Linked DNA regions of Caenorhabditis elegans. The protein of the gene in region 2 purifies or fractionates together with the protein of the main gene of each other region. This does not show direct contact. Each region holds a gene or a part of one and is shown on either strand. Other genes may lie near its edges.

Region 1 (7,326 bases), on a different chromosome or scaffold from region 2:
TTTCTAGAAGAACAGAAAATTTTCAGGGAAAATTGAAAGTGTGAATATCATAAATTGATAGGAAAGAACAAGTCGAATATTTTCAGATTGTCTTGCTGATCTCGGGTTTATTCGGTGCTACTCAAAAACGACGTCCACTTCTTTACACTCTCCTCTCATCAAATGCTCTTTCCGTTACAATCAATGTGCTCATTTTCCTATGGTATATCGGAGTCTTCGGAGAAATTTCAAGACCATATCTTTCGGCTGGACTACCGTACTCTTCTTCGTTTTTCTTAAGATTCACACCATATTGTGATGCCGAGTTTGATGTGATAAGGTGAGCGATTTCATTTATTCTAATTGGAAATATGAAATAATCAAATGATTTCCAGAAAGAAATGGGTTCAAAAACAGTGTCTCATTCCATTCTACTCAGTCGAAGCATCTCAAGCAATTCTTCATATTATTTTTGCAATCGTAACTTCAATTTTCTCGATCTTAGTGATTGTGGAACTTCGAAAGAAACCAATAAGATCAAATTCCCAATCAATTAACCATTATGCTCAAATATGTGCATCAAAAGTTGCCAAAGCTCCAAGTTCCACGAATAATTCTAGCAGTGGATACCTCAATTCACAATATGACGACTTAGGATCTTCGAGAGAAAAAGTGAAAGTGACAGAGAAAAAAGAAGTCAAAGGACAATTCGAGAGAAATTCAAAGAAGAAGAAAAAGAATCCACGTCCAGAAATGCCAGCTCCAGATTGTGCTCCGTGTTCTTCAAATAGATCATCAGAAGAAGAAAGTAATTTGGAGGATGTGTACACACAGCCAATTAAAAAGAAAATTATGCCGTTGAGAGTAAGTTTGTTTGTTTTGAATTGGTTAAATGTTTCCATTTTCTATAATTTTATACATGATTTTCAAGTCGTTTTAGGTAGAAACTTTTGGCTACAACTTTTGAAAACTTGATGGTTAATTATTAAATTAGTACAAAATGGTTACTGTAGTCATTTAGTTGAATAAAATATTTCATTTCACAACTGCTATATTTTCTTTCAGAGACCTGACCTAGAAGAAGAAAATCGTGGAACTAATGTCACATCATTAGTCAGCTTCGACCCAAAAAGTGCGACTCTTTTGCGAATACGTCAGCATTTGGAGGCAGAGCCATCTGATAGAGATGTGAGTTTTCATGAATGATTTTCTATACAAAATATTTATATCAAGAGTTCATAGTTGAAATAATATCTATAATTTTCAGACGCCAGACTACGATATGTACGAACGACTCCGATCAAGATCTTCTGGACACTCTGAAGTTGCACCGGCTTCTACTATCCCTTTGAGTTCTGACTATAAATCAAGAAATGCTTCTCAAGATTCGGTTCCTTCAATGTTTGCTCCGATGCTCAACTCTCCAGCCCCATCTTCTACAACTTCTGGATCTTCTTCTAGAACATCTGGAGCTTCGTTGGCACACAAAACTCACATTGTTGGGAAAGGTGGAATTTCGTTATCAACTGTTGATCCATCCCCGATTCTTTCTCCAGGAATACGGTTATCGGAGCAACTAGGAGCCAAGAATCAGTCTTATAAAAGTGCATTCAGGGTCCAGAAAACTGAAAATGCTCGTGTTATAAGTCACTATCACGCTCCCAACGAAATTCCACTTTCCAGTGATCCATCGGTTGTTGAGAATGAATCTAACTATCCCGTGATGACTAGTGGTGGACTTCTTGTTTAATTTTGACTCAAATCTCATGTCTTGCCGTCTTTTTCTAGGCACTATATACGGGTTTATTCTTTCTTTTTTGTATTCTTTCTGCTTTTTTTAAAATAAATGTTTAAATAATTGAGCTCAATTTTTATTAGAACCAACAACAAGTGATAACAAATTACGATAGAGACCTACTAAAATTCGAAGAAAATTGCTGAAAACCGAACACGCTAGGAAAATTAAAACAATTACTTTGCCTTCTTGGCAAATTTATCATGACGAATCCACCATTCGTCCCAGTCGTTGTTCTTGTCATTTTTGAATGTTGGGAAGTGAACAAGTGGATCTGGATGAATATCTTGCAGACGTACACCAGCTCTCTCAACAGGCTTTCCAGGTTCATCTGTCCAGCTTTTGTACCATTGACGATAATCAAAGTTTCGGAATTCTACTCCAAATGTGATTGTTCCATGTTCTTTTGCTTTCAGAAGTTGTGCACGAAGTAGCGTGTACTGTTCACGACATAGTCCACTCTTCAGGATATCGATTGGTTGGTCGGTGCCATCTGCCAAAAATTGTTCAATGAGACCTGGGTTTCGGTAGTCGAAGTATAGATATTCGTCACGGCACACCTGTAATTCGTGAATTTGTTTGTTATATCTGCAAATGTTAGTTGCTGTTACAAAAACTTACTGGACAAGCATGATTTAGATTGAATCGGCCGTGTTTATCAATGCAGAAAAGTCTTGGAGGTGGTTGAAGTTTCGATTGACCCTGAATTTTCAATCAATTTATTTATTTTTCGAATTCAAATTACCTTGATGTTTCTCTTATACCATCTGTAAATCGGAAGTCCTTTGTAAGCCTCTGCGTATCCTGAAATATATTAAATAATTTAATTTTTAATTGGCATTCATGAAAGCTGTACACAAAGAATTCCTCTTATTTTGTTTTTGAAACTAAATTGAATATTACCTCGACTTTTCATATAGGAAATCTGCTCGGCAATACTGTGTTGTGGTTTGTACATTCCCTTCTTTCGTTCAACATGATTGTAAGCGTATCCGGCCTGAATATATCGATTTTTAAGTAAAATTGTTTATAAATTTAACATAGAAATTAGTTTAGTTCAAATATATTATCAGTTACCTCTTCTGGAGTCGGAACTTCTTTAGTTTTTCCTTCGCAAGCCAATCGGCAGGAAGAATGAATCAGCCTTCGTGCGAATGATCCCCCAGTGGCTAACATACCTGAAATACTGACTTAGACAACTTTTAAACAATTTAATTATATTTAAAAAGTACAAGCTTATAGCTTTAAATTACAATTAAAAACTTAAAAATAAAATAATATACTTTGTGCGTCAAGTTAAATGCGGTGTACGCAAGGAATGTGTGTTCACCGTCACGTCAAGTTGCACATTTTCGAACATCTTATTTTTCTCAAATTTTTATTCTTCTGTCTTGTTTAATCTTTTTTATGAATAGTTATTCACTAATTTAATATTTTTTAAATGTTTAGTTGTAAGAAAACTTTACAGAAATGGATTCGTGTCTAGAAACCATCAGAAACTTGCACGAGGAACGGGAACGATTAATCGATATAACTGTTAAGGAAAAAATTGCAGAAAAGTTAACGCATAAGGCCAAAGTTAATAGCGAACAGCGAGTGAAAACATTTGTCGATGTAAGAAATAACTGTTATGTTATTTCAATTCAATATTATTATTTTTCAGAGGTACTATTCAGTTTCCGCCGAGCTTGCCAAATTTTATAAAGATGAAGACGGTTCGAAGAGCATGGAAATGGATTCAGTTTCTGGTCCAAATGAGTTCGCCGAATTTTATTCAAGACTGAAGGTCATCAAAGATGCGCACAGAAGAAATCCAGACGAGGTTAGTTTTGTTATTTTCCCCGGAAACAATTAAGTTTGGTTGTAATATAATTTCTATACATTTTCAGCTTGCCGAACCACTCACCGTGGAGTTCCAAAAAATCAATGAAGAAATCATCAACCCTGAAAGAGCCGAGCCAGATATGGTTGAATTCAGTGATGAAGAAGCTTACGGTCGTTTTCTAGATCTTCATGCACAATACGACAAATTCATTAACTTGAAGAACATCAAAAGGGTTGATTACATGACGTATTTGTTGAATTTTGAGAAATTCACAGAGATACCGAAAAATACTACCAAGAAGACAGGAGCATATAAAGAATACATCAATTCCTTAAAAGACTATCTTGTTTCTTTCATGCAACGAACTCGCCCACTCCATGATCTCGATTCAGTTTTCTCTGAGGTTAATCAAACTGTAGAAAGAGCATTTAAAGCAGGGAATCTTCCTGGTTGGGAAGCTGATAAAAACAAGAACGGACCTCAAGCAGCTGCTGTGGATTTATCTCCATACAATAGTGCTGAAGAACTCGAGGGATTGGGATTGGAACGTTTGAAAGGAGCTCTCATGGCAATTGGTCTGAAATGTGGAGGGTGAGTTAAAAATATTTGGATTTTTTAATTGTAGTCCTCGTTATTTTTCAGAACTCTGAAAGAACGCGCTGATCGTCTTTTCGCTACCAAAGGGCATAAACTGTCAGATCTCGAAAAAGCAGCAATGTCTTCAAATAATTCCGATGCCGAAAAGCAGAACGCTAAAAATTTGACATTGGCACAAACGGAAGCTCATATTATGGCACTTGCTGATATTCTAGCTGAAGAACGTACTGGAACTCGCGAAAATGTCGAGAGAAAACAAGCTAGATCTGCTGGAGAGGTCGAAGAAGAGGAGGAGGAGGAAATTGTGGTAGGTTTGAATTATTTTCTCTAGTTATTTTTAGAAACATTTAAAAATTCATTTTTTAGATCGAGGAAGAGGAAGAAATTGATGAGAGTGCACCATATAATCCAAAAAATCTACCGCTTGGTTGGGATGGAAAGCCAATTCCGTATTGGTTGTACAAACTTCACGGCCTCAATCTATCATATTCATGTGAAATCTGTGGAAATCAAACTTACAAAGGTCCAAAGGCGTTCCAAAAGCATTTCAACGTAAGTTCATTATATTGGTCTCGTTCAAAAACTTGATATTTGCAGGAGTGGCGACATTCTCATGGAATGAGATGTCTTGGAATTCCGAATACCTCTCATTTCGCCAACATTACGAAGATCAAAGATGCACTGGATTTATGGAATAAATTGAAAACCGAAAAGGAGATGGCTAAATGGAATCCGGACATCGATGAGGAGTACGAGGACTCCAGCGGAAATGTGGTCACCAGGAAGATGTATGAGGATTTGAAAAGACAAGGACTTCTGTAGACGCTATTTTATGTATTCCATTGTTCTTCTAAGTTATTTTTTTTCCTTTTTAATCTTACATTTCTGTAAGTTTTTAACCAATTGGTCTCATTTTTCAAATTTAATGGATAAACTTTTTTGTAATTTTAGTACAATTGAAATAATTTATCGGTATATACAGTTTCAGATAAGTAGTGAGAAAGTTTAATACTCAAATGCAGGATTTGCCTTGAAATCAGCACATCCTAAACAGCTACAATATTGTTCTCCTTTTCCGCAATAGCCACTATTACTGCAACAGTAGGATTCAGAATCCGGATCACATTTTGGAATTTTTCCAGTAGAAAGTCGTGGAGCATTGTAACCACAACGACCTGAAGATATATTCTTATAAGTTGAATTGAGGGCCTGTTCCCTCACCAACGTTGGCTGGATTCTCAGAAAATGTCCACCATTCTAATGGTTTATATTTGAAATCTCTCTGTTTTGCAAAATCAATACATCCATTACATTCACAATGTTCCTTTGAATTTCCACAGTAACCTCCATTACTACAACAATGAGCATTAGCATCATCTGGATTACAAGTTGGCGCTTCTCCTTCTAAAGGTGGAACATCTCGACCACATCGTCCACGTTTCCCTTCTCCAGCATCCGATGTGTACCATGTGATCTTTTGGCTTGGTTTCACTGGTTCTTTCAAAATTAAATTTGGATCTGCACCATAGTCAATACATTCAGGACAAGAACAGAATTCTGCACCGGAACCGCAATAGCCATACTGCAAAACGGTATTATGAAGCCTTTCACGGTGGTACTAACCTTTCCACAACAAGCATGACCTGGATCATCTGGATCACAAACGGGATAATATCCATCAATCAATGGAGACGATTTTCCACACATTCCAGCCAATTCCTCATTATCATCATATGTCCACCATCTTTTGTCGTCTACTGGAGAACACTTGTAGTTGAATGACTTTGTTGATGTGGTACAAATAGATTCAGCTGCAGCAGAGTTCAGAAGGGTACCTTGATCATCATCAAAGTCAATTGCCCATATCATAACTCCTCCAATATTATTTTCAACTATATAATCAACTTTATGTTTGAGACTTTCAGCATTTTCATATCCAACAAAGGTTTTTTGTTCAGAAAGCCAAATGAATGGGGTTTTGGATCCAGAATGAAACTTGGTTTTTGTAGTATCAAATTTCTCGTGCAGATCTCTCCATTGAACATCTCCACCTTCAAATTTTGTGCCTTCTGAATTAGTTGCCGTAGCAGTTCTCCACATATCATCTGTTGAGTCAACAGCATCACCCACATTCTTCCAGAAACGACCATAGAATGGGACACCCATATTTATCTGGAAGTTGATTAACGGTTACGGTAACTCAAATACCAAAATGTTTCTTACCTTATCAGTTGCTTTTATTTGGCAACTGTAGTCTTTCATCGTGGCATGTACGTTCATTCTTCCAGAGAATCTAAAAAATTATTTCGTTGCTCTTCGCTTCCCCTTACTAATTTTAGCTCACTTTTTCGGCATAGCAAACTGTAATGGTGCTGGGGGTCCAGTGTATGCACCCCATTTCGAAGCCCATGCTCCAAAATAATCATAACTCATAACATTCACAAAATCACAATATTTCATCAATTGTTGTAGATCGTATCCTGGTTTCAAGACCCAATGTCCTGCTGCTCCAGCGAACGATATGAGATACGACTTTCCTGTTTCGGATTCCAAATCTCTCAACTCATTTCGAAGTTCTCTCATCAAGTTTACATAATTCCTTCGATCAGCTGGAGTACCCTCAACAGCACCGCCTGTTACGGGATATTCCCAGTCAATATCAACACCGTCAAAACCGTACTCTTTAATAACTTTGACAAAGTTCGAGATTAAAATTGATCTGAAATTTTATGTGTTTTCTAGATCACGCCTTTGACACACCTTCTAGAGTGATCTGCAGTTAAAACGGAAAAATATTGAGAGTTTTCCCAGCCTCCAACAGCGTACAAAAGCTTGAGATCTGGATGACGAGATGCAACCTAAGATATCAAATATCATTTTAAAAACCTATAACTTTTAAATAGTTTTTGACAATACCTCTTTAACATGTTCCAATCTTGCTTTTGCAGCATCTCCTTCCAACTTGACACTTCCATCTGAATCGACGACGAAGAAGGCGAAAACTAAGTGTGTCAGCTTTTCAGCCTTAATTTGAAAGTGTTAACTGAAAAGTTTATAAAAATACCTGATCATCTCTAAATGGATGTTTGCCCCACGATGTAATATAACCAACTCTTCGTCTTCCACAAGA
Region 2 (6,623 bases):
AATAAAAATGTTCATAATTTAAATTTGTTCTTAAATCTTCTGAAATATATATATCTTTATTAAAATTTACGAAGAGCAATTACAAAAGTGCATGAAATCAAAATTAATCTAGTCACATTATGAACAACTGACATCAAAAATTATTTCTTATTTGCTTCGGCGACAGTTGTACCGTTGAACCCTACCGTAGCTGGTGGTAAGTCGTGGAATGTGATAACAACCTGAAATTTTGAAATATCAATAATCCATTGTTTGATTAATAAAACATAACGAAATATTTGTGACTTAAATGTTTGACATAAACTACACTTACCTTATCTTTTGGAAGACCCAATTCCTTTCCACAAAACTCAGTGATGGCTGCCGTATTGCGAATATTGTCTTCAGCAGACACTGCTCCGATTGATTTGATCTAAAGAATTTATTATTGCGAGAATTTTGAACTTCTGCCAGAAAAAGGATGGTTTCATAAAGTTTTAATTTCCTTTCTAAGTGTAACAAGGAACTTAAATGTAGTTTTAAAGGTTTTGGTTTACCAAGGTGTTACTTTTGGAAAGTGTTCCTAAGTCACTTACCGAAATTACGGTCACAGGATCATGAGTGGCCCCATGAACTAGACGAGCACCGGCGGCTATCTGAAACTTTAAAGTTAATAATTACTAAAGATTACTAATATACCTCGACAGCAATTCTCTCTCTTGGTTTTCCCATTGATCGAGCAAGAAGATCGGTGAGACGAATCTTAAATTGAAAATTCACATTTTAAAAGGAATACTATGTGAAGTTGGCATTTGTTCAGATTTTTGAAAGTTTTCTTTGGTAAATTGGCGCTACGAAAAGTTCGGGACTTTTGAGAATTTGGAACAATGGTTCATGTTTGTAACCGTACAATACTCTAGAAAAACGGAAAATTATTAAAATATCAAAAATTCGTAGAAAATCCACTTTTTGGTCAACTTCCGAAATTGTGGATGCGAAAACTGAATATAAAATATTTCAAAAATTTGTCTGAACTGTCTTAATATTATTTTTCAAAAACATGTCTGTTTTGCCAAGTTGTGGTCCCAAAATACTGTACCTGGTTTCGAGACGACAGGTGCTTGTAAAATGCAAAAAAAAAGGTGTGCACCTTTAAAGAGTACTGTAATTTTAAACTTCCCTTGCTGAGGAATTTTCATCAATTGTTCATAGTTTTTCGTTAAAAATATTTTCATTGAAAAACTTATTGTGAGAAAAACTATATAAAATCTTTAAGAATTCTGCAGAAACTCGAGTATAAAATTACAGTAATCTTTAAAGGCGCACACTTTCTCGCAACGAAAAAACTCGTCGTGTCGAGACCGGGAACCATATTTGTTTCTCTTAAAATACTTGTTTTTTTCTACAAATTTTCTCTAGACTGTTCAGTGTTTGTTGAGTCGTTTAGAAAATGTTTGATTAAAACACAAACCTCAAAATCAACAGGAACCTTCTCATTTGGTAGATTCGTCGCAACTCTGACCATCGGCATTTTTCGTTTCTGAAATTGATTTTTTGGAATATGGCAATAAATCACATTTCATGAAAAACGTGGAATATAGCGTTTTTATTCAAAAAATAACGACCAATAGTAACCTGAACTTTGAAGACGAAAGACGATGATATTCTGATAGCACTGACAGTCAACATCGACGAAAAATCGAAAAACCGGTTTCAAGTTCAAGCAACAATCACGCAGAACTACAAAAATCATCTGCCGCGAGGATACGGATTCAACTTCAGAAAAAAACACGACTGTGGTATTAAATAGGAACGTTTATCAATAAATAAAAAGTGGAAAATGATGATCATTGAAACGAAACAACAGGGTGAACGGGAGGGGGAAGAACAAGAGTGAAAATTTCGAAAATTGTAAGGTGTCATAACAAATACGAGAAAACCGTACTGATTGGGAGATTTTCTGAAGGTGAATTATTCAGCTTGTGCCAGTGGGTTTTTGACGACGAGAATGACGGAGTCTCCGCGGAGGAACATTTTTGAGATGAAACGATCTTTGGCGACAGACTTTGCCTTCTTCTTTCCCTTTCCAGTCTTTGGCACTTCAGTCCACATTTCCTTCACATTTTCGAGGACCATGTTGCAATGTCTGAAAAAGTAAAGAATTAGACTATACGTTCCAATTATTTTTATACGAACAATAGTAGAAAACTCCTCTTGGAATTTTGCATGCTTTGCGGGACACGAAAGTTACGGCAAATGAGAAAGTACTTATATTAGTGTAAGATTTGTGTTTTCCCTTTGGAAATCGTAGCAATACGTGTTTGAATAATTTGATGCCACGACAATTTGTTACAGCACAGGAGGATCGTGCCGTTTTATTAAATCTACCAGCCGTGGACCGCACCTCTGGCGCTGCCCCGACTTCTGGGGCTGAAAACTAATTTTTCTGAAACTACCATAATCATACAGTACTCCTACCGTACCACTATTGTACCACTACAGTACCCCGACTATATCCCTACACTAAGCCAAACCTTCACAGACTACAAACTATGGACAAACGGAATAAATGCATTATATATAGTAAATGATATTTTGCTACAGCATCGAGACGACAACCAAAATACGTTCACTATCGATGATTCAAATATTATTTTTGAAACACTTTTCTTTAAAAAATGTTGTCTGAAGTTTACTACCGACAAATACTTGTGAGTTTTTACTTAATAGTATTTCTAAGAAACCTAACCTGTCAAAAGCCTTAACTCTTCCGAGAAGCTTCTTGTTGTTTCTGCAATTGATGAGAACTTGATGATTGTTTTTGACTGAGTTGGTGAGGATGGAGAGTGGTCCGACATTGAATTCCTCGTCCTCCTTTGCAGCGAGTTCTTCAGCAGTCATCTCTGAACGGGGTTTGGCTTGGCTGTAAAAATAAATTTAAACTACTGGTCAATGAAAACAATGTGAACTCACGCCGACATGATCAAAGTTGATTTTGATAGAAGTCCCTGAAATTAAATTGGTTAGCTGAGAATCAATGATAATTTCATGTAAAAAATACCGATAAGAGTGAAGAATAAGGTATTGGGCGAGGTTTTCTAAATAATCATAAAGAGGAATTCGGAGGAACGAAACTTTACAGATCTTAAGAAAGTAGAAGAAAAATCAATTTTGAGATTTTTATTAGTTTTTATGCAGTTTTAATCGAAGGGAAGAGATTCGTTTCAAGAAAACAGAGAGACTCCGATAAACCGCGAGCGATTGCAATTCGAAAAAGACGACCGCAACGCACACGCGCCGCATTCCGAAGAATACAGAATGCAGAAAGCACCATTGTGCGCGAAAGCCGCGATTTGTCGGTTGCTGTGTTTTATAGGATCAGCTGAGTGAGCTGCTGAATTTAGCTTTGCGCTGGGGCGATAACGTGACCAATGAGGCTTTGCCGAGGTGCGTTTATTGCTGGTTGAAAACTTTTCCCAATTGCCCGCGATGTCCCCTGAAACATGGGTGGCATACGCAATTTTTGAACGCCTCTAGGAGGCAGAATATAAATACTGAACAGTTGAACATTTAGTTGGAAAACAGTATCCTTGGAGCATTCAGGGCGCTAGTCAACATTGTAGAGATGAAAAATATATTCCTAGGTAAAGTGTGCACAATATTAGTACCATTAAAATACGCTTGCCAATTTCTTCTATTCTTACTTTTTCTGGCATTACACCGTAATCGCGTTTAGATTACTACTCTTCTTATGAAAAGGTTTTATGGCACGTTTTCAGATTCATTTAAACTGGTGTATACAAGTTTTAATAGTCAGAAACCCAATCACATTTATCCATAAAATCGAAACGAATACATCTGACAGTGTTGGGCCAACTTGGGTGCATCTCACGACGATAGGATGTAATAAATAAGACAAAAATCGGAGACATGGGGAATCTGTACAAAAAAAAATGGGTGGACGGGCGAAAATAAGTTAATCGAGGACCGGAAAGAGAATGAAAACCGAATAGGGTACAATTAATTATGTGTCAGATATCTTGGAGTGGCGCTGAATTTGGCATATCCCTTGACAACCTTATTGATAGCTTCAAGGAAATCTTTTTCAGTTGCCACCTTTCTTCTAGCACGAATTGCAAACATTCCAGCTTCGGTGCAGACTGAGCGAATTTCGGCTCCTGTACTGTTTGGGCACAGACGAGCAAGTAAATCATAACGAATATCTCTTTCAACGCTCATTTGTTTTGCATGAATCTTGAGAATGTGAGCACGACCTGCAAGGTCTGGAAGAGCGAATTCGACTTTACGATCCAATCGACCAGGTCTCATGAGAGCGGGATCGAGAGTGTCCGGTCTGTTTGTTGCCATAAGCACCTGAAAATATCAAATTATTTTAATGAAACACTCATATTTACAATACATGTAAGCATTAATTTTTTGGAAACTTATCAAACGAAAAATGTGTGTCTTTTTTTTTGGATGAAAGGACTGAACTAATGATATAAACTGCCTTCAAGAAAGCAAGAGATAAATAAATTTATATTACAGATTTTTTTGGGTTATTTCCATAAAGAATTAAAGACAAACCTTGATGTTTCCACGTGGATCGAATCCGTCAAGTTGGTTAATCAACTCGAGCATAGTACGTTGAACTTCATTGTCACCTCCTTGTCCATCATCAAAACGAGCACCTCCAACAGCATCAATTTCATCAAAGAAGATAAGACATGCCTTCTTGGTACGAGCCATTTCGAACAACTCACGAACCATTCGAGCTCCTTCTCCGACATATTTCTGAACCAACTCTGATCCAATAACACGAATGAAGCAAGCATCTGTTCGATTGGCAACGGCACGAGCGCAAAGCGTCTTTCCTGTTCCTGGTGGACCGTAGAGCAAAACTCCTTTTGGTGGCTCGATTCCGAGATTAACGTAACGCTCGGGATGAAGAAGTGGAGTCTCGACAACTTCTCGAAGCTTTTCAATTTGATCCTTGCAGCCTCCGACATCCGAATATGTTACATCTGGTTTTTCTTCAACCTGCATCATTGTGACGGTTGGATCAATTTTGGCGGGCAACGGAAGATGAATTTGATACTTGTTACGGTCTACTCCTACTCTCATGCCCTCCTGAATCATTTTTCAATTATGTGTGAAATCTAATTACAATTTCAAACCTCAATATCAGTAGGTGCAACGGAATCAGCAAGGTCTACAACAAACTTAGCGAACTGTTTTACGTTGATCAAGTAACGCGGATCGTGCTTGTCGCTGGTGATAATTTTTGTGCATCTGGCAACTTGGAGAGGCTGTTCTTGCTGCATTGCTTGTTTATCAGCAGCAATATCCCATAGAGCTGGTGGAGCCAACCCGGTGTCTGATTCTTTCACTCCAGAAAGTTCGTTCACCTGTAGAACAATGAAATAAAATTAGGAGCACGATGAAATAAATACCTTCTTCAGACAGTTTTCAATATCCGCGTCCAATGTTTTGAGCTGTTCCGCGTATGGACCTTGCCCGTATCTTTTCAAAACAGCAATGTCTCCTTCGTCGAGAGCTAAATTCAATTTTCAGAATTAGTTTCCTGAACGATATCCACATACCCTGGAAATTCTTCTCTTCCTCCTTGGTATCATCTTTTTTAGTTTTGCGCATGTCATCTCCAAGGTGATCTGGCATTTTCTGCAAACGAACAAATATTTTTAGAAGAAATGAATATGGAAAAAGCTTTGAAATGAGAATCTCTTTTGAAAATTGATGATTTTTCAGTGTCGCCGGACGCGTCGCGTGTCGTCTGTCTGATAGAGCGCGTTAGCATTTCACGCGGGAGAATGAAATTTATGAAAAATATTCGTATGTCAAGTTGAGAAACAAAAGAAATGATTCATCTGCAAGAAAAAATGTATTTTTTGTATATAAATTTAGTGAAAAGGAATTTCAGATGTCCTCGGGGCGCTCTTGAAAAGTTTACTAAAACTTTTTCACATTGTGGAGATTTGTCGTCTGCTGGCAAAATCTTGTAACCAGCCTGCGCTAAATGTTTTATAGTGAATACTAGCATTCTTTGTACAGTATAGAATATGAAATAGCATACACTTATTCTTTAATATCAAATGAAAAAGCTGGAAAAATTGTAACTTGTAGCGACTACATATCCTCCTGGTTTTCTCATGAGTCCAAAAGTTGTCAAAAACATTTATCTTAATTGCTAGAATCAATATGAACCAGTTATAAAAACAAAAACAACGGTTGACCTATAAAGCAAGACACCGGTAAACCCGTGGTCAAATGGGGGGAAGAAAAGCCAAAAAACAGCGGAATTGGTTCGGAAGATAAAAAACAAGTTTCAATAAAAACCTCGTGAGTTCTAAATACAATCAAACCATAAATCACAGTTGTTCAAAAAAAAGATAATAAAAATTAAATTCTAATTAGTTAAGACTGGAACCGGGTGAGCTTCGGTATTAAATACCCATTTATCGAGTGAAATCAGTGATTCGTCTGCAAACGTCAAATAGGCATACTTCAGAAACTCGGCAAGGAAGAAGGATTGCATCACGTCCTCACGGCCCTGAAATTCAGAAATATTCAGAAAAGCCCACAAGTTCAGATACTTACAGCTTTAGGATTATAAACATTTTGTA
Region 3 (8,500 bases), on a different chromosome or scaffold from region 2:
TCTTTCCCTTGTGCTCCATCCCCAGAAACGACGAGCTATCTGACTGTATATACAAGTGATTTCAGCTCGGCGTTTGCTCACCTGCTCAGTTCGCCTTCTGTAAATATAACCTTAATCCATTCAAAATCGTTGTTATCAATCTCAGCATATCAATTGTTTATCAGTGTTATTTAAATAATAAATATATGGGATTTTCTGCGCTAATATATTAGAAAACTCGTATCTTTCCAATAAAAAGTGGAATTTGAACATCCACGCTTTGTTTCTGTCAGATGGAGCGCGTTTGGTGCATGTTTTTTCAGCGGTTTTTTTGCCCTTTTAAAAAAGTCTAGATTTCTAAACATTTTGAACGCGATACCAGTTTTTCTTGTTCTAGTTTGTGTTAAAATAATTTCTACTAAATTTCAGATGTCAGACGACAGCCGTGAAACTCAGTTATTCGAGCTAGAAGCACTGGAGAGTGTGCTAAGGGAGAATAAATTGACGAGAATCAGTGATTGGGCGGATAAAAATGCAGAAATTCGGGGAATAATTGAAGTAGAATATTGAGCGTATAAAGAAGTTTATTATTAAATTTTTTCTTGATTTCAGGTAGGATTTGACACATTATCCGATCCAAAAGTCACAATTGAAGGAACGTCTGACTCCAGCGATCATTTTTCCATCCCCCTAGACATTCTTCCACCAATCCGATTGAAATTTCATCTTCCAAATGATTATCCCTCAGTATCATCACCAAAACTTGAACTGGAAAGTTATTGGATGAATCAGGAACAAATGACATCTTGTGAAACCGAGTTGGCAAGGATTTGCGAGGAAAACCAGATGATGGAGGTGCTTTTTATGTGCTATCAAACGATAATTGATTCGGTTAGTTTTTTGTTCTTTTTAACAAATTAAATATATAAAAATAAGTTTCAGATAGACCAATCTCACCTAAAAATCATCAATCTGAACGAGGCGTGTGCGCTGAAAAACAATGGAGAAACTATTGAATCGCTGAAAAAGAAAATTCTTGGAAAAGGCGAAGAAGCTGCTGAAGAGCACTTTGTCAATACACTTTTCGATTGTGAAGTAATTTTTTCGTAGTTATAAAATTATACTATTTTTTCAATCTTCCAGGTATGCTACGACTCTCAAATGGGCCAACATTGCATCAAATTCCAGCCGTGCTCTCACGTTTTCTGCAAACAATGTACTTTCGATTATTATCGTACAATATCGAAAGGTGTTGTGGTAAGATCCAATCGATTTTTTTTTTGGAAAAATTGGATCATTTACAGTCAAAAGCCATGCAGTGTCTAGCAGAAGGATGCAAGAGTGAAGCACAACAAAATACGGTTAAGGAGGCACTCGGAGATGATTTATATGCAAAGTGAGATACATTTCCAAAAAAAAAAATCCAAATTTGAATTTCCGCCAGATACGAGACGATTATGCTGGAGAAGGCGATTCGAGAGATGGAAGACACCGTGGAGTGTCCCAGAGAGAATTGTCAAAAAGTCGCCTACGTCACGGATAGGTATAGTTTAAAATATAAAAATAAATGTAAAAAAGAAGAACATTTCAGACAACGCTTCCTGGCCGAATGCTCCTACTGTAACTTTTCGTTCTGCAATCTGTGTAAGCAGACATTCCACGGAATAGAACGCTGCAAATGGAAGAAAGGAGACAAAGAGCTTCTTGTCAAAAGATGGAAGGATGGAGATGAAGCTGAGAAGGCTGAAATGTGCAGGCAATTTGGAGGAGAGAAGCGTGTCGAGGAGCTTGTGGAGCGGTTCCTCAATGAGGAATGGCTGGATTCGAACAGCAAACCGTGTCCCAAGTGCTCGGTGAGCATAGAGAAGAATGAAGGATGCCACAAGATGCACTGTACGAAGTGTGACACCTACTTCTGTTGGTTGTGCTCTGAAACTCTTGACAAGGAAGATCCTTATAAGCATTTTCAGGGAGATGTTGGTTTTTTCTTAGAATTGTGTAAGAAATGTATTTTTCATTTTCAGGGATCATGCTCTGGACGTCTGTTCGAAGGAGTTCATCACGATTTGCTAGATAACGATGACGATCTTCTTTTCGATATGGCATTTAACGACGGTAGTGACTATGACAGTGATGAGACCGTCGAGTATCCTGAATCCGACGAAGATATTGATGCGGAGGATTGGTTAGAGCAAGAAGGACATTTTGACGAGCTTTTCTTTAATTAACATAACTTTACGGTTTTCTCTAAATTTACGGATTAATTGTCAAATAAAATGAATAGTTCATCCTTTTAGATTTGGTGATTGATTTAAAAGTGAAAATAGAATTAAAAGAAAGGGGTAAGAAATAAACAAAAAATAAATAGAAACAATCAAAAAATTTGACAAGGGGCAATAGGGATAAAAGAGGTTTGGGGAAATGAGATCAGATGATTCGGAGGCATCAATAGCCTCTGCCAGCGTTTCTCTGCAGGGTCTGCATCACAGTAGTCAGCTTCCGTTTCGTGTCTCCATCTGGGAAGTTGTCGAGATCATAGTATTGAGGGGCGATTTGAAGTAGCCTGAAACGCATATCTAGTTAGGTTTTGAATAATATAATTTGCAAATTAACTCACCATTCAGGGCGCACATCAGTTACAGTTCTGATGAAGTTCTTTGTGGTTAACACGAACTCATTGTAGAGTGCCCACTCCGGCTTATGATCGAGAACTGTGGATGGATGAAGGTTGACGAGCTGATTATCTTTCACCGTCACGTAGTGTCCACTTCGTTCCAGATGAGCGACTTGCATGAAAAATCCAGCTACAAGAGCTTTCCTGATGTTGAGATAATAGTCTCGAGATTTGAAGTCTGTTGAGACACGTCGAAGATTGTACTTGTCCATAACACGCGACAATTGTGTGCGGACTGTGTCGGCAGTTTTCATAGTTCTGTAGTTGATGAAGTTATCGTAACACCACTGCGGATCTTCTTGATCTGAAATATGCGAAACTAATATTTGAAAAAAAGAAAAACAAAGTCAACTTACTCTGCTTGAACGAATGATAGACATTGAGAAGTGTGAGATGATCTCCATCAATATGTGCAAACCGAGCCTTCGCCTCATCGGCTTCTGTTCTCATTTCATTGGGACGAACCCAGCACTGCGGAACCGAGAGCATTGCTGTGATCGACAAAATTTCATTTGAGCAATTGAGTTCAGTGGATGTGATAAGCATCTTTGCGAGCTGAGGATCAAGCGGGAACTCAGCCATCAGACTTCCTAGTTCAGTGAGCTCTCCATCGTCGTTGATCGCCTGAAGATAGTTTAACAGTTCCAGCGCTCTCATCAATGTCTCTGGTGCGGGAGGATCCATGAAATCGAAGTGCACAAGATCTTCGGTTCCGAGCTTCTTGAGCTGCAGCACAACAGATCCGAGATTCGACCGAAGAATTTCAGGATATGTTTGATCTTGCATTTCTGATCCGTAAGCCGTTTCGGTGTAAAGCCGGAAACATTTTCCTGGCTTTGTTCTTCCGGCGCGTCCAGCTCTTTGCATAGCAGAAGCTTTCGAAATGGGACAAACAAGCAGCGACTCGACACGAATTCTTGGATTGTACACTTTTTGCTTCGAGAATCCAGGATCGATAACAAAGACAACGCCATCAATAGTCAATGATGTCTCAGCGATATTTGTAGAGATGACACACTTTCTGCTGATTGCTCCATTCGGTCGATTTGGTGGTGCTGGTTCGAAGATTCTCTGCTGTGCTGCTGGGGGAAGTGTAGAGTACAACGGAATGCAGCTGAGTGCTCCAGCATCTGCTCCCAAGGCTTGAATCTCACGATCTATTCTTTTGCAAGCTTCTTCGATCTCTTCTTGACCAGTGAGGAACAGTAAAATGTCACCTTCAACCTCCTCGACCATATGAATTTGGATTACAGTTCTGATCGCGGCTTCTAGATAATCTTTCTCCGCATTTGGAGTGAAGAAGATCTCAACAGGGAATGTTCTTCCGGGAACACTGAGCAACGGGCAATCCTCGAAATATCTTTGAAACTTTCCTGCATCCAATGTAGCGGACATGATTACGACCTTGATATCAGCTCGATTTCTCACGATTTCCTTGATCAGTCCCATAAGAATATCTGTGGCGAGTGTTCTTTCGTGAGCCTCGTCGAGAATAAGGACTTTGTACTTATCGAGGAGCGGGCTGTTCATTGCTTCTCGCAGCAACATACCGTCTGTACAGTATTTGAGAACAGTTCGTTCGCTGATGCAGTCTTCGAAACGAATACTGTATCCCACTTCTTGTCCCAAAACTACGTCCATTTCCTCAGCAACTCTTGTCGCAACGCTCATCGCAGCGACCCGTCTAGGCTGTGTGCAAGCCACCAATCTCGCTTGACCGGGTGGTTGTCCTTGTTGCTGCTGCTTCATGAACTCGACGGCCCACTGTGGGATTTGCGTGGTCTTTCCGGATCCCGTTTCTCCGACAAGAGTGATGCACTGGTTGTTCCGGAGCAGCTCCATAAACTTTTCCTTATATTCCCATACTGGCAATTGACTTCTTTTCTCCCAAATTGCCCAATATCGGTTACTAAATGGCTGGTTGTTGTATGGATTGATTTGGATCTGTAAATTTGGAGATGAGAAACAAAAATTCGTTTACTAAAAAATACCTTCATATTTCCAACTGCCCCAATCTGTCTTTTCCGGTCGGGGGAGGAGCGTCTGTGTGGCGATCGGGAGCGGGATCGGGATCTGCGGTTAGGAGATCTGAAAATAAATTATTATTATTATATTGAACTGGGGAAGCAACAATTTTACTTACCTTCTTCTGTCTCCGCGTCCGCTGCCATCTAAATCCAATCGGTGTCTCGAAGACATCGCAAGTTTCTCCTTCAATAGGAAAATTAGAGTTTCAAGTGGCTTTATAAAGCGTTATACGAAAATATTAGGTATTTCGAAAAGCTACGCGCAGGATAAATGGATTAAATGTATGACAAATTAAGAAAACTAGTTGAAAAAGGAGAAAATCAGCAAATATAGAGATATTGGGAACAAAAGACAGAATTTCGCAGAATATATTCGGAATAAGTATGGAGCGATTTACGGGTGCGCCTTTAAACTTTCGGTGGGTCTCGAAGCGATTCCGCTGTCTGCGTCTCTGCACTGCTGGGCGGCTTGATGGTTTTAGTTGTTTTCAGCTTCTTTTCGAGTTTCAGATATATTTTTTCAAGTTTTTCAATTTAAAATAATGTTCTCTGAATTTTTATCTATCGATTAATATCCTATTTATATATTTTTATTTTCAGAGAACAGGGGAAAACTTGAGAGAATGGCTCTCAGACTCGCCGTCAGCTCTGCTTTGCGTCCGGCTCTCAATAGCCAGGTAATTTTCTTGTGAGATTGCTAAAAGAGAAATAAAAACTCTTAATTGAAAATAAAATTGAAAGTTGTATGCCCACAGGTCGCATGGAGAACGTAACAACGATGATAATGTAGAAAATCTAATTAAATTAATTAATTTTCAGGTTCGCAATGCTTCATCAGCTGTCTCCGTGAAGGACGTGCTTGCCAGCGCTCCACAAGCTGAAGTTACCACCTTGAAGAATGGCTTCCGTGTTGTCACCGAAGATAATGGATCCGCCACCGCTACCGTAATTTTGCCCACTAGTTTTCTAAAATTTCTTTTGTTTTAAATTGTAGGTGGGAGTCTGGATCGAGACCGGATCTCGTTTTGAGAACGAGAAGAACAACGGTGTCGCACATTTCCTCGAGCGATTGATCCACAAGGGAACTGGAAAGAGAGCATCTGCTGCTCTCGAATCCGAGCTTAATGCTATCGGAGCAAAACTCAACTCGTTCACTGAGCGTGACCAAACCGCAGTTTTTGTCCAAGCTGGAGCTCAAGATGTTGAGAAAGGTAAATATTTGTAACTTATAAAATTGTGTTAATTTTCCAAAATTTTCAGTTGTCGATATCCTCGCCGATGTTCTCCGCAACAGCAAGCTTGAGGCCTCAACCATCGATACCGAAAGAGTTAATCTTCTCAAAGAGCTCGAAGCTTCCGATGACTATCATCAGCTTGTCCTCTTCGATATGCTCCACGCTGCCGGATTCCAAGGCACCCCACTCGCTCTCAGCGTTCTCGGAACCAGTGAGAGCATTCCAGTAAGTATTTATTTGGGTTTACATAAAGTTGATTATTTTTTCAGAATATCTCTGCTCAACAATTGAAGGAGTGGCAAGAGGATCATTACAGACCAGTGCGCATGGTTCTGTCCGCTGTCGGAGGAGGAGTTTCCAATGTTTCAAGCCTCGCCGATAAATATTTCGGAGACTTGAGCAACGAATACCCACGAAAGGTTCCACAGGTCGATGGAACACGATTCACCGGATCTGAATACAGATACCGCAACGATAATGTCCCACACATGTATGCTGCTTTCGCTGTTGAGGTACAAATAATAAATGTGTGTTCAGTCTTTCATTTTACTTCATTTTTAGGGTGTTGGATATGCCCACAAAGATGCTCTCGCTCTTCAAATTGCCAATCAATTCATTGGTAAGTTGGCTTTTGTGTGAATTTTTCAATTCAAACCGTAATTTTGATGAGTTTTAGGCCAATGGGATGTGACCCACGCTACATCCAGAACAGCTGCTTCCAGACTTGTCCAAAAAATCGGACACGACCACGGAGTCCATAACCTCCAGCATTTCAACATCAACTACAAGTAAGTATCTTTTTTTGCAAGCTTATTTAAATTTTTATTTTCTTTTTTTCAGAGACACTGGATTGTTCGGAATCTACTTTGTTGCTGATGCTCACGACTTGAACGACACCAGCGGAATCATGAAGTCTGTTGCTCACGAATGGAAGCATTTGGCCTCTGCTGCCACAGAAGAAGAAGTCGCCATGGCCAAGAACCAATTCAGAACCAACTTGTACCAGAACCTCGAGACCAACACACAAAAGGCTGGATTTAACGCTAAGGAGGTTTGTTACTCTGCAGAAAATGCTATGGATAGTTATTTCATTATTTTCAGCTTCTTTACACCGGAAATCTCAGACAGTTGTCAGAACTTGAAGCTCAAATTCAAAAGGTTGACGCTGGAGCTGTCCGCGAGGCTATTTCAAGACATGTGTACGATCGTGATCTTGCTGCTGTCGGAGTTGGTGAGTAGTTTTCCACTTGCTGTTGTTTTTACATTATGAGAATTGCAAACAATTTCTCTTTTCTAGGTCGCACAGAAGCCTTCCCCAACTACGCCCTTACTCGCGCTGGTATGTCGTGGTGGAGAATGTAAGCAGTGAACGATGACGTCTTCCTCATCTCGGATTCCCTATGTACTTTTCGCTGTTCGTTCACCGTCTCTCTCTCTCTCTATCTGTTGTCAGATACACTTTTTTAGAAAACTTTTTGCTGTTCATTTATTTTCTTTTTCCAAAAATTAATTTTAATTTAGAGTAGCGTTATTTGTTTGTACGGTTCGGAGTAAAATGAATGAATTGACGAATTGTGCCAGAAAATGTATATCTGCTCGATTATTTTCTGCAGAATTATAATATCTGAATGATTTCCTGATGAGATTGTCTGCCCATCAAATCAGCGCCCTCAATTTTCCCCCGATGCAAAAAAAAAAACACAACAAGACCACTCCCAATTGGACGGAAAGATATCTGCGTCTCCGACCGATCCATTGCATCTCTTGTCCACCGGTTGACTGGCCTTGACCACGTTCGCACACTTATTGTCAGCCTCACCCGAGGCTATCCGCTTACTGAACCCCACTTTACGCGAAACTTTCTGTATATAGGTGACTGGCGTTAAATAATAATAGCATCGTTCCATTTTACAGCTAATTTCTTACCTGAAAGTTTTCGAATCTTGAAAAAAAAACTAACTGTCATTTCAAGTAGTAATTAGTAATTCTTTATTTCAATAAAAATCAGCGAAAATGATCCAAAGTCTAGAATTTTAACAGGAAACAGTAAAATTGTAGAATACTGAATTCCCACTTCTCCTCGAGAAGTACACGAGCTGCGTAAATCGACACATGGTCGTGTTATTGGTTCACGAGTGTGCGCCTTTAAAAAGTACTGTAGTTTCACCTTTGTTTTTTCAACTTTTGTTGCTGTCAGTTTTTCACGATTTTTCGATGAAAACATACTTCCTGATTGATCAACTTAAATTTAAATTAAAAAAAAAACTTCCCGAAAAACCATTAAAATTAAATGAAAATTCCGGAACAACAAAAGTTTGAAACTACAGTACTCTTTAAAGGAGCACACCTTCTCGTATTTAGCACAAATTTGTCGTGTCGAGAACATTTATCGAATTATTGGTCCAAAAATTGTCTGGATATTATGTGAAAGCCCGTGATTGAATTTTTTCTAGTCCAAAAAACATTTCAATTTGTTTTTTTTCAATTTTCACTTTGACGATCACAAGTTTCATTTCTTTCTCTTCTCTTGCGATGAATTAATAAAATATCATGTGACTATATTTCAATTCTTTTTCCAAGTACAT

The links. Proteins that work in one complex are often made in the same cells at the same time.
Region 1: the proteins of snr-4 (region 2) and prp-9 fractionate together in Caenorhabditis elegans (co-fractionation; one large-scale study listed by BioGRID). This does not show direct contact.
Region 3: the proteins of snr-4 (region 2) and ddx-15 fractionate together in Caenorhabditis elegans (co-fractionation; one large-scale study listed by BioGRID). This does not show direct contact.

The regions. Positions count from the first base shown.
Region 1 is NC_003280.10:8,521,313-8,528,638, reverse strand, and holds prp-9 (Matrin-type domain-containing protein), read left to right. Parts: upstream 1-3,242; 5' UTR 3,243-3,244; coding exon 3,245-3,388; intron 3,389-3,437; coding exon 3,438-3,596; intron 3,597-3,663; coding exon 3,664-4,190; intron 4,191-4,241; coding exon 4,242-4,503; intron 4,504-4,562; coding exon 4,563-4,748; intron 4,749-4,793; coding exon 4,794-5,018; 3' UTR 5,019-5,145; downstream 5,146-7,326. Other genes in the region: gldi-7 (Sodium/potassium-transporting ATPase subunit beta-1-interacting protein), read left to right, coding at 87-319, 375-843, 1,045-1,167, 1,247-1,729; mrps-18B (28S ribosomal protein S18-2, mitochondrial), read right to left, coding at 1,951-2,334, 2,396-2,476, 2,520-2,578, 2,678-2,771, 2,852-2,950; cht-2 (GH18 domain-containing protein), read right to left, coding at 5,202-5,371, 5,418-5,778, 5,820-6,368, 6,420-6,489, 6,541-6,915, 6,957-7,054, 7,113-7,220, 7,261-7,326.
Region 2 is NC_003283.11:11,976,737-11,983,359, forward strand, and holds snr-4 (putative small nuclear ribonucleoprotein Sm D2), read right to left. Parts: upstream 2,988-6,623; 5' UTR 2,961-2,987; coding exon 2,953-2,960; intron 2,903-2,952; coding exon 2,729-2,902; intron 2,598-2,728; exon of another isoform or gene 2,577-2,597; intron 2,126-2,576; coding exon 1,951-2,125; 3' UTR 1,772-1,950; downstream 1-1,771. Other genes in the region: MIF-like protein mif-2, read right to left, coding at 141-221, 314-412, 576-635, 679-741, 1,451-1,519, 1,615-1,668; rpt-1 (26S proteasome regulatory subunit 7), read right to left, coding at 4,000-4,353, 4,567-5,109, 5,157-5,387, 5,433-5,536, 5,583-5,658; Mannosyl-oligosaccharide 1,2-alpha-mannosidase mans-2, read right to left, coding at 6,407-6,550, 6,598-6,623. UniProt on the Caenorhabditis elegans protein: Plays a role in pre-mRNA splicing as a core component of the spliceosomal U1, U2, U4 and U5 small nuclear ribonucleoproteins (snRNPs), the building blocks of the spliceosome.
Region 3 is NC_003281.10:5,586,855-5,595,354, forward strand, and holds ddx-15 (Pre-mRNA-splicing factor ATP-dependent RNA helicase ddx-15), read right to left. Parts: upstream 4,865-8,500; 5' UTR 4,853-4,864; coding exon 4,797-4,852; intron 4,742-4,796; coding exon 4,645-4,741; intron 4,598-4,644; coding exon 3,010-4,597; intron 2,958-3,009; coding exon 2,597-2,957; intron 2,556-2,596; coding exon of another isoform or gene 2,555-2,555; exon of another isoform or gene 2,543-2,554; coding exon 2,425-2,542; 3' UTR 2,208-2,424; downstream 1-2,207. Other genes in the region: F56D2.2 (RBR-type E3 ubiquitin transferase), read left to right, coding at 409-537, 592-870, 922-1,074, 1,123-1,236, 1,284-1,375, 1,424-1,522, 1,571-1,955, 2,004-2,207; ucr-1 (Cytochrome b-c1 complex subunit 1, mitochondrial), read left to right, coding at 5,304-5,357, 5,500-5,625, 5,675-5,891, 5,941-6,140, 6,185-6,427, 6,477-6,534, 6,586-6,703, 6,756-6,966 and 2 more. UniProt on the Caenorhabditis elegans protein: Pre-mRNA processing factor involved in disassembly of spliceosomes after the release of mature mRNA.